Schizosaccharomyces pombe: one gene and its partners. The protein of the gene in region 1 purifies or fractionates together with the protein of each later gene. This does not show direct contact. Each region holds a gene or a part of one and is shown in the gene's direction. Other genes may lie near its edges.

Evidence for each region.
Region 2: the proteins of cdc5 (region 1) and prp19 purify together in Schizosaccharomyces pombe (affinity purification with mass spectrometry; 6 studies listed by BioGRID, with this or other methods). This does not show direct contact.
Region 3: the proteins of cdc5 (region 1) and cwf19 purify together in Schizosaccharomyces pombe (affinity purification with mass spectrometry; 3 studies listed by BioGRID, with this or other methods). This does not show direct contact.

Annotation. Positions count from the first base shown.
Region 1 is NC_003424.3:2,692,981-2,696,735, forward strand, and holds the start of cdc5 (splicing factor Cdc5), read left to right. Parts: upstream 1-1,718; 5' UTR 1,719-1,777; coding exon 1,778-1,796; exon of another isoform or gene 1,797-1,836; coding exon 1,837-1,856; exon of another isoform or gene 1,857-1,913; intron 1,914-1,922; coding exon 1,923-1,937; exon of another isoform or gene 1,938-2,001; coding exon 2,002-2,121; exon of another isoform or gene 2,122-2,190; coding exon 2,191-2,639; exon of another isoform or gene 2,640-2,703; coding exon 2,704-3,755. Other genes in the region: [pyruvate dehydrogenase (acetyl-transferring)] kinase Pkp1, read right to left, coding at 1-126, 206-372, 456-549. UniProt on the Schizosaccharomyces pombe protein: Involved in mRNA splicing and cell cycle control.
Region 2 is NC_003424.3:5,131,566-5,135,320, forward strand, and holds the start of prp19 (Prp19 complex subunit, ubiquitin-protein ligase E4 Prp19), read left to right. Parts: upstream 1-1,657; 5' UTR 1,658-1,676; coding exon 1,677-1,734; exon of another isoform or gene 1,735-1,774; coding exon 1,775-1,879; intron 1,880-2,218; exon of another isoform or gene 2,219-2,364; coding exon 2,365-3,668; 3' UTR 3,669-3,755. Other genes in the region: RNA polymerase I upstream activation factor complex subunit Rrn5, read right to left, coding at 1-160; rRNA exonuclease Rrp17, read right to left, coding at 675-1,076, 1,124-1,229, 1,270-1,373. UniProt on the Schizosaccharomyces pombe protein: Probable ubiquitin-protein ligase involved in pre-mRNA splicing. May also function in DNA repair.
Region 3 is NC_003424.3:1,101,694-1,105,448, reverse strand, and holds the start of cwf19 (protein Cwf19), read left to right. Parts: upstream 1-1,641; 5' UTR 1,642-1,701; coding exon 1,702-3,114; exon of another isoform or gene 3,115-3,158; coding exon 3,159-3,426; exon of another isoform or gene 3,427-3,469; coding exon 3,470-3,708; 3' UTR 3,709-3,755. Other genes in the region: Lsd1/2 complex PHD finger domain-containing protein Phf2, read right to left, coding at 1-585. UniProt on the Schizosaccharomyces pombe protein: Involved in mRNA splicing where it associates with cdc5 and the other cwf proteins as part of the spliceosome. Involved in mRNA splicing.

The DNA of each region.
Region 1 (3,755 bases):
TGCAAGCGAGGGATTATGAAGAATTTCAGAGTCCATTAAACTTGACCTCCATTTCGGGGCATTGTGATATCGAGCGTGCTTTGGAAGACATTTCGGTAGTTCCACTCCTTTCAGTTCAATAATTTCCTTCAACCAGTTAGCTTTGTTTGATTTCTGGTTATGTTTCGACAAGTATCGAACATGCAAATATACACATTTGACCTACCTCCATAGATCTACCGTAAGCAGCCTTTACGGAAGATATACGCTTCATACTTCGTAGCATCGGTGAAAGATTCTGCAGGTCTTGGATGCGCCGAGCCAAGCGAATGGGCAATTCATCTCGCAAAAACAAGCCAGCCCGGAAAAGTGTTCCTGGTGTAGGGTTCTTGCCTTCATAATAAAAATTAAGCAGTCAGTATAAAATTTCTAGTATGAAGTAATCTAAGAAAAATTAACTGAGCAAAAATTCTTACCAAAATACACTAATTGCTTTAAAGACAACCCTGTTTGAGGATATTGAGCCAAGAGATTGACTTTCTCCTGTAAAGTTTTCCCGAGCACTGACATTTCTTTTAAACCTTAAGTTTTTCTTTAAATTCGATAATGATAAATAGAACAATTGTTCAATCGTAAACTTTGTTGGTTTGTCTAACAAATAGATGATAACCCATGGACGAGCATAAAAAAAGCGGCAATTTGCAAAATATAACCTAAAGAAAGTAAAAGATGAGCTTCAGAAACAAACAAATAAAGCAGTTTCTTAATGTTTTCACACAGAATCTAAGAAAGCTTTTGCTAAACTAATGCATTCATATGTTTGCAAAGTACCCATAAAAATAATGAACTTGAGTGTATTCCATTAAAATTGAAATGCGTGATACATTATACTTCTTTTGCATTGCTTATTTTATTTTTCACAATACTGCTAGCTACACAGTTTGTTATCTAATTTAAGGATACGTAGAACTGCGGTGAGTTTTCCTTGTGGTCTATTATATTACAATACACAGGTCGTATGAGTAGCAACTGAGTATAGGTATTGTATTAACTAGGTTATAAAATGTTACCTATCACTAATATAGCTTATAACTGAACCTCGTTCCTCAGTTCAGTTAAAACTCTATTTATAATATTTCTAAATAGTTGCTATCAACGGGTATCTATGTATATAGACGGATAGTTACCCGTGATGATCAATAGACGGATCTTAATTAGTATTCCAACATATGACATATAGTGATATGTAACGTAGTGTAGTATTGCTGACAAATACGCGGTCATTAGGTTACTTAACGATACACATAATACTGCAATGCTTGTAGTTACTTGTTGATATACCAACCATAAATAAGAGGAAGAGTATGGTAGATCCACCTTCAAGATAAACATATTTGATCATTGCTATATCCTGCTTGTCAAATATTTTCTTAATACTCAACGGTTAGGAATATTCAAAAAAATTTAATGTTGTCCAACGATTTTGCGCTATTATATTTTTGCGATAAAGAAACATGTGCTACATTGAAATAATTTAAGGTAAATATGTGATACGTAGCAAACTGGAAAAAACAATAAAATGAATATTTGGTTTGACTATTAGTGTGTTTAAGAAACTGTTCTTTTAAAAGTTAAAACTACTTTAAATATAAAATATAATTTTGGTCACTTTCTGCTGCACTCGACATTTACCTCAATTTCCCATCCACCCTGTTTCGTCGCAAGTTGTTACAGTTACTACAAACCTCCATTACCACGCTTTCTGACAATTGTCAGGGTTTTGGCGAATATTTAGAAAATGGTTGTTTTAAAAGGAGGTTTGTAACTTTTTTTATTGTATTTTCTAACATAATTTAGGTGCCTGGAAAAATACAGAGGTAAAGACTATGATTTTAACCTTCTACCACGCGCAATGTTTTTGTTACTAACTTATTGGTAAACAGGATGAAATCTTAAAGGTATTTTTTTATTTATTAGTTACATATTTCCTTTAATATTTAGAATACTAACGCAAATTCCTAGGCTGCTGTCAGTAAATACGGTAAAAACCAATGGGCCCGCATAAGTTCATTGCTGGTTCGCAAAACTCCTAAACAATGTAAAGCTCGTTGGTATGAATGGATCGATCCAAGCATTAAAAAGGTATGTTAAACATGTAATCACTATTTGTTATTTGACAAGACCTATTGTTAACATTTCCTTCACATTTAGACTGAATGGAGTCGTGAAGAGGACGAAAAATTATTACACTTAGCTAAGTTACTTCCTACACAGTGGCGGACGATTGCTCCAATTGTAGGTCGGACGGCCACTCAATGTTTAGAACGCTATCAAAAACTTCTTGATGATTTGGAAGCGAAAGAGAACGAGCAGTTGGGATTGATCAGTGGAGAAGGTGCAGAAGCAGCTGCGCCTGTTAACGATCCAAATTCCCGGCTTCGTTTTGGCGAAGCAGAGCCCAATTTAGAAACCCTACCTGCACTCCCTGATGCCATTGACATGGATGAAGACGAAAAAGAGATGTTGAGTGAAGCACGTGCACGTTTAGCAAACACACAAGGAAAGAAAGCCAAACGAAAGGATAGAGAAAAGCAGCTTGAATTAACTAGAAGATTGTCACATCTCCAAAAGCGAAGAGAATTGAAGGCAGCTGGAATCAAGTATGTGTTATTATTATTACTTTATTGTATTGTTTTTCCTTCATTATGTTAATCTATAACTTAGTATAAAGCTCTTCCGTCGAAAGAAGAATGAAATGGATTATAACGCTTCTATTCCATTTGAAAAAAAGCCAGCGATTGGTTTTTATGATACCTCAGAAGAGGACAGGCAAAATTTTCGGGAAAAGCGAGAAGCGGACCAGAAGATAATTGAAAATGGAATACGGAATAATGAAATGGAATCCGAAGGTCGAAAATTTGGTCATTTTGAAAAGCCAAAACCTATTGATAGAGTAAAAAAGCCCAACAAAGATGCCCAAGAAGAAAAAATGCGACGTCTTGCCGAGGCTGAGCAGATGAGCAAGAGGCGGAAGTTGAATTTACCTAGTCCTACTGTGTCTCAAGATGAACTGGATAAAGTAGTGAAACTAGGCTTTGCAGGCGATCGTGCTCGCGCTATGACTGATACGACTCCAGATGCTAATTACAGTACTAATTTGTTAGGAAAGTATACACAAATTGAACGAGCTACTCCATTGAGAACACCAATTAGTGGTGAACTTGAGGGAAGAGAGGATTCAGTTACAATTGAAGTTAGAAATCAATTGATGAGGAACCGCGAACAATCTTCTCTCTTGGGTCAGGAAAGTATACCTTTACAACCTGGTGGTACTGGTTACACAGGAGTTACTCCCAGTCATGCAGCTAATGGCTCAGCTTTGGCAGCACCTCAAGCAACTCCTTTTAGAACACCACGTGACACATTTTCTATTAATGCAGCTGCGGAGCGAGCAGGACGATTAGCAAGTGAAAGAGAAAATAAAATTCGATTGAAGGCTTTGCGAGAATTGCTTGCAAAACTACCTAAACCTAAAAACGACTATGAACTAATGGAGCCTCGATTTGCGGACGAAACTGATGTTGAAGCTACTGTTGGAGTGCTTGAAGAAGACGCAACAGACCGAGAACGTCGTATCCAAGAACGTATTGCAGAAAAAGAAAGGTTGGCAAAAGCGAGGAGGTCACAGGTTATTCAAAGAGATTTGATTCGACCATCTGTAACACAACCAGAAAAATGGAAGCGTTCACTTGAAAATGAAGATCCGACTGCAAATG
Region 2 (3,755 bases), 2.4 Mb from region 1:
AGTCACGCTTATTTTCAGTCTCAACTTCGTATTGTTGAAGGACGTCTAGGTATCGTTCATCATGAGTCATGTACAATTGCTCACTTGAGCCAATGATAGATGCAGTGCTTAAAGGCGTTGACCCTTCACTCTCATTTAATCCGTTTATTGAAGAAGACATGTTATTATTGAGAACATGATCAACGCTAATGAAATAAAAGCTGTTGCAGTCTTCTTTTTAATATTTTTTTGTTTACCACATTACCAGACGTGGTTTGTGTTCTGACAAAGATCAAACTCGGTATTCTAGTGAATTTCGCTAATATACTAAAATCCAAAGGAATATATAAATGTAGAGTATCTCTAAAATTTACGGGTTTTAAACATAATAAAAAAATATAAATCGTGCTAAAATCTAGCTTACCGCTTATTGAGTACAAATTTTTTGCGCATGTACAAACACCTTAATCAAAACTGTGAACAAAAAATTGAAAAAGGCTGAAATGCATATATCAGACCAAGAAAAACTCCGTATATGTAATGATCTCTTGTAAAGTAGTTTGTTAACTTCCAAAAATTCTCAACCTGAAAAACGAATGGACAATTGAATTCAAATATCATTTTATACCAACCATATTCATAAATATAAAAAAAGGGCAAGATGCGTCAAACAACGTGTGCTTGAAGTTCCTAATTTAACGTCTTATTTTCTTCTTTAAACGACGTATTTTTTCTTTTCTTCTGTCCTGTGTACGTTCAAATTTGCTCTCATACCGAAATTTCTTTTTGGCGGCATTTTTAGGCTTGTGGGGACGCAAAGGAACATCTGGTGGAGGAGAAATACGAGGCGTGACAAAACCTTCTTTAGGATAAGCAATTTCTTCATCATCATCGTCCTCTACAATTTCTACCGTAACATGCTTATCATCTTCGTCATACTCAGTAGTTTTAGGCTCCATTGATGACTCTTCCTCGCTGTCAGATTTAGATGAGGAATCTTCTTGCTGTGAAGATTCTTCATCATTTTCTAGCGAGCTATTCAACTCTTTAGAGAATGCTAATCGCTCAGCCAGTTCTCTTTTGCGCTGTTCTCTGAGCTGAATAGTGTTAGTGATATACTCAAGATAGTATTAGAAAAACTTACAGATTTCCTCAACGCTAAACGTTCTTCGCGTTTTTGCTGCTCCAATTGAACTTGAGCATGCTTTCGTCGTTCAACTTTGCGTTTATGAAATCCAGTTAAATACTCTCTGTAACAAGTTAGTAGCAATCCCTTTATGATATCCATACTTTCGCTTCTCTTTATCAAAGACGATCTCCTCCAATCTTTGCTTCTTCCCTTTCTTCCTGCTGTAAATCTCACCTCCACGGGTTAGTAGAGATGTATTATCCATGATGCAACAGTTCGTGAGTAGCTAGAAGAGAGGGACAATTTATGGGAATCTGTAGTGATTTTAAGTAAATTATCTCCAATTCTATCCAGTCTCGTAATGGTCCAGTAGATTTATGAAGACGAGAGGTACTGAAACCCTACTATGCCTTGTACGTACATTTGCACTACTAACTAGAAAATTATTTGCAAAATGCATCGCATTTGCCTTATATTATATACGGATATTGGTATAGTGCAGTAAACGATTAGTTGGCTATGCATTGCTTTCCTCTAGCTATTACACACAGAAACCAACGTGTGCCGAATGTTTTGCTCAATCAGTGGAGAAACGCCAAAAGAACCGGTGATTTCTCGTGTAAGTGGTATGTTTGTACAATAATTTCCCTGTCTGACTGAATGTAGGAAATGTTTACGAGAAGCGCTTGATTGAACAAGTTATTCGTGAAACGTCTAAAGACCCTGTTACTCAACAGGAATGCACGTTGGAGGACTTGGTTCCTGTAAAGGGTAAGATTTCCTTCTTTATTATTGAATGGTTAAGAATTTCAAGTAGCACTTATTTTTTTATACGTGGAGTACTGAATATTCTGAAATTGGTTTGGAAAGTAAAACCCTGCAATATTGGTTGAAGAACTCGTTTATTTTCTTTTTTTTGTTGATAATGTATTTTATTGCATGATTGATTTGTACTCGAAATTTTTTAATTTTACAGCTTTATATTTCTCCTTAAAAAGTGGACTATTTAGTGCATGTCAATATCTCGGGGCAGAAATTAGGAAGGTTTTTAGAGAATTATAGAACAACCTTGTCGGATTTATCAAAACAAATCTTTATCAAAATTAATGTGGAGTTGTTGAGGAAAATGTATTAATACTTTAGATTTTTTTTGGTTTTTGCTCTCCAATGCGATTTATATTTACTATATTTTGATTGTACTGACCATTCACATATAAAGCGAATCAAATCGAAGATAATTGCTAACCTTTAAACAGTACCTGATTTTGTTAGACCTCGACCTCCTTCTGCCACTTCATTGCCTGCATTGCTGTCTCTCTTTCAAGAAGAATGGGATTCTGTCGCGCTTGAGCAATTTGAACTTAGAAGAAATCTTACAGAGACGAAGCAGGAGTTATCAACGGCATTGTATTCGCTAGATGCTGCGTTAAGAGTTATATCTCGGCTTACCAAAGAAAGAGACGAAGCTAGAGAAGCATTGGCGAAATTTTCCGATAACATAGGCACTGTTTCCTCGAAAACTATTGAAGTACAAGAGGTAGAGATGGGCGAAAGTGATGACCAGCTTAAAACTAGCTTACGCTCTACGGTGGAAAAAACATTTCAAGAACTTTCTTCCAAAAGGAAACGTACAAAGTTACAACCTAAATGGGCGACTGACGATGCTGTGAGTCAGCTCTTGCAAGCTACTCCTTCTACTATCTTAGAAAATTTGGAAACAGAAAGCACTACGTCTTTCTTCCCGTCCCCTGAAAATTCTTCTTTTGTATTATGTCTTCATAAGGATGAACTTTTATGTCTAGATATCCAATCCAACAGTACTCTCAAAATTTTTGAAGGATCAGCTTTAGCGTGTTGTTGGTTGACTTCTTCCAAGATTGCTGTCGCTACTGCTGATGCCATTTCAATTTTTGAATTTCCTGTTTCCTCATCTGGTTTACAAAGTGTGGGTGAACCTACTTCGTCCATTCCTATAGACGAAAAGGTGAACTTCCTTCAAGCTCATCCAAGTGGGGAATATTTATTAGCAGCATCAAACGAAAAGTGTTATATTTTCTCCCTGAAATCCCAGGTTTATAATATCACCGTTGCTCAACACATTACATCTCTTGCTGTACATCCGGACGGTAACCTCTTTGTCGCTGGGTTAGAGAATGGCGAGTTACGCTTTTTTGAGACTTCCTCGGGAAATGAGCTTACAAAATTTGGACCACATTCAAGTCCAGTTAAAACATTACAATTTGGTGAAAACGGTTATTGGCTTGTAGTAACAACTAATGATGACTCTGACATTTTCATTTGGGACTTAAGAAAATCTGAGCTTGTTCAAAAAATACCCCTACAAACCAAAGTCGCAGCAGTGTCATTAGATATTACTAGTCAACTTTTGGTAAGTTCGGATGGGGAGACTCTCTATGTACATATTTATGTCAAATCTTCAAAGTCTTGGAGATGTATGAGTCAAACCCATGTTTCCTCTATTTCTAATTTGGTTTGGTTAAATGAGTTACACCAGTTGTTGTTTAGTACTTCAAATGGAGCCATTCTCCGGTTGGGTTAACCCAATTTTTAATCCTTTAATTATGTGCTCCTCCATTAGGCTTTTCGTATTTAGTAAGATTTTGGCTCTTTAACTTAAGTGATTTCC
Region 3 (3,755 bases), 1.6 Mb from region 1:
ACCTTCCAAATTAAATTGCTCTTCCCTACCATCTTCAGTAGAAAAGAGGGCGTCAGCGGTGTTGTCACGTTCAATAGCCAAACTGGCAGGCCATGATCTTTTCCGAGCAATGTTCATAGCAATTGACATAGGAGGTAATGGCGATGAACTTGCAGGAACATTTGGGGGTAACGCAGATTTTGTTTGGGAATCAGCACTTCTATGATGCGCATAATTAGATGAAGATGCGTCTTCAGTGAAAGGTGCCTGTTCGCTTTTTGCATCGGTTTCCTGATTTTTACTAGATTCTATTTCTTTAGCAACATCATCATTTTTGTACGAACCGAAAGCACCTGACTCCTTGTTTGGCTCGTGAAAGTGTTGGAACTGATTTTCCAAATGCATGTTTGAATTCACGTTAGGATTTTGTATATCCTGAAAGGCTTGATCTATTAGCACAGAGCCTCCATTTTGATTAGATTCCTCCCCCTCAAACATCGTTGGATGCAAATCATTGGGAAATCGACGACTACCGTCGAATTGAAAAGGATATGATGCCGCTTCAAAAGAACCGCCATCGTCGTCATAGTACGATGAATTCGGCATTAGGTTTTAAATCATTCATATGCTCATGTAAAAAACAAATGAAAAAATGAAGCAAATGGCAAAAAATGCGAATGTGTAAGTTCAACACGCGTGTTTGGAATTTAGGTGAGATTTAACGCAACTTATAAATCGTTTGCTGCTGTTACTCCAATTATGTTTTGCTAGCGAAATGAGATTGATCATCACTATATCTCGCTTATTCACTTCTCACTACAACTCACTGTCTAGTCATATATAAATACTGCACGTATCCATGAAGAGCTGAAATCTCACATTTATTAGAGCTTTTTTATTTTTAATTTTGTTAAATTTAATTATTCATGCATTAACTAGTCATAGCTATAAATATGAATGAAAATTTGGTCTTTCCTTTGTTTATATTTCCTAGATGGCCTAACAGCTATAATTGATTGAACTTGTATGCTATTAAAGGCGATAAACAGACTTCTTTAGTACTTTGCTAAAGAAAATATAATTGCAATGATCCAATTACACTGGAAATACAGGTATAAAAAATCGTCACAGTTTGGAAACAAACAATGCTTTTTTTTCTGTGGCTGTTGTGTAGCTTTGCTAGTATCATAAACTCATTGTACACTAGCGCAAGACACACTATACAGTAGTTAGCGCGAGGTATTTTATTATTCTTTCCAACTTATTTGTAATGAAGTTCAAATAAACAATGGGTAATTTAGTACTACTAAAGTCCTTGCGTTATTTAAAAGGTTTTTGTTTGAAGTTAGTGGTATATATTTTGGAATCCTAAAGTTATTGTATCGCCTTTCACTGTCAATGTGGAATACTGCAAAGGCCGATACTCCTTCTTTCAAACTTAATTGTTTCACTTTCTTTTCTTTCCATTTCAACGCAATATTTTACAATTTTTTTTAATTTAAAAGAGAATTCTGATCATTGTCTAAACTAAACTCCTGGCAAAACTATCATTTGCGTTGCTTGTTTAGATCTGCATAGTGCCTGAACCACTTGACTTAACGAATGTACTACTACCATCGTTAAGTTACAATAAAAACATTATTTCCTTTTTCCCACCATTTTGCCTCTAATTATTGTTAAAAATTATTTATTTCATGAATTAATATTAAAATAACGTCCATTATGGAAAAGGAAAAGCTTACAAATAGGACCAGTACTCACAAATTCAATGAAACTGACAGAGAAACAAATCACTCTAGAAGGCATCGTCACCACCACTCTAGGCATCGTGAGAGCAAGCATGGACGACATGATCGCAGTGAAAGGCCAAGCTCTAGAGAAGCAGGTGACCGAAGTAGGCATGAAAGATTTAGTAAAGAGCCATTGGAGGTAAAGAAACTTCCTGTTGAAAATGAATACTTTGACTCCAAATTCGCTTCTGCTTCTTCCATGCCATCCTCCAAAGACAATCCACAGAATAATGACTTTACTAATTCATTGCAAGGTTTGGATTTTGGTACGTTCGGTTCGCGTATACAAAGAGAACCTATTGACCGAAAGTCCAATAAGCCTGGTGAAATTTTTGTTGGTGCAACATTACAGAATGAGAGTTCGACGAGTACAGAACATAAAGATATAGAACAGCTTGAAACCGAAATTAATGAGTCAGGAATTAATTACAAAATTGGTGATAATGGCTCTCGATGGCGTATGATGAAGCTCAAACGCGTATTTGACATGGCTCAAGACCAACGACGCCCCGTTGAAGAAGTAGCTCTGGAACGTTATGGTTCATTGAAAGAATTTGATTTTGCCTTGGAAGAAAGAGATGAGTTAGAGCTTCGAAAACGAACTCGAAAAGTTCAGAAAGAAGTTCCTACTGGCGAATTATATGAAAAACGATGTGCTGATGAATTTAAGACTAGAAAAGATTCTGGTAATGGCGCTACATACTACAAAGTAATACCTGACCCTTCTGTAAATAAAGATACTCCCACTGAAAGCGATTTGAATAGATTAAAAGCTGATTTGTTACGTGCTCAACTTAAAAAGGATCCTAACTATGAGTCTTTAGAAAGGGAATATCAGAAAGCTTGTGATGACTTCGAAAACTCTTTACACCCTTCGGAAAATTCTAATTCGCAAGCAACCATACCATCAAAAAAAAGAAACTTCGACGATCCTACTATTGATGAGATGGTACAGGAAGAAAAATTGTTGAATAAACAACGGAAATACGGCCAGAATTATGAATACGCAAAGCAGATTGCAAAGGATAAAACTTATTCTAACAATCTGGATTATTTGGACGAAAATGCAGGGAAACTTTCTAATCGAATGAAGCGCGGAGACGTCAGTCTAGCTCAAATTAGTAGTGGTGGGGATCTTAAAAAAATTAATCATGTTTTGGACACTTGTCCTCTTTGCCTAAATTATGAAACACAACCTTTGGCACCAGTAATATCTTTAAGTCATCGTGCTTATGTTTCTTTACCAACTCAACCCGAATTAGCTAAATATCATTGTTTAATTGTTCCTACAGGACATCGGATAAATACCCTCAGCTGTGATGAGGATGAATGGGATGAAATCAGAGTATGTTAATATAGTAAAAGGAAATAACTAACAAACCTTTTTAGAATTTTATGAAATGCATCGCCCTAATGTTTGATTCCATGAATCTTGGTGTTATTTTTTATGAAAACGCGCCTTCACCACAAAGATATATGCACACAGCTATTGAGTGTATTCCAGTCTCTAAAAGGATCCTCTCACTTGCACCTGCTTACTTCCGTGAAGCTTTGTCTACTTCTGACGAGGAGTGGTCTCAACATCGAAAAATTATTGATACATTAGAAGGTTCGAAGAAGTATGGAAAATGGGCTTTTCGAAAAATGATGGTTAAGGGTATGTTTGGAAAATCGTAATCATTTATTTTACTAATGATTAGAATTGGGTTATTTTCATGTTTGGTTCAGTATTGATGGTGGCTACGGGCATGTCGTGGAAGACGAGAAGGCATGGGGGAGGCACGATCAAGTTCCTAGGCAGGTATTTGCCAGTATGCTAAACCTTCCTCCTGAAGTAATCAGAAGGAAAGGTTCTTGGACAGGTAAAAAAGATCCACGCGAAGATATGTTTCGCAGTCGTTTTGAAAAATTCGATTGGACCAAGGGATTAATTGATTAGTAATTACGAAAATCCTTTAATTCAAATAAAATTTTGTTTTTATTTTT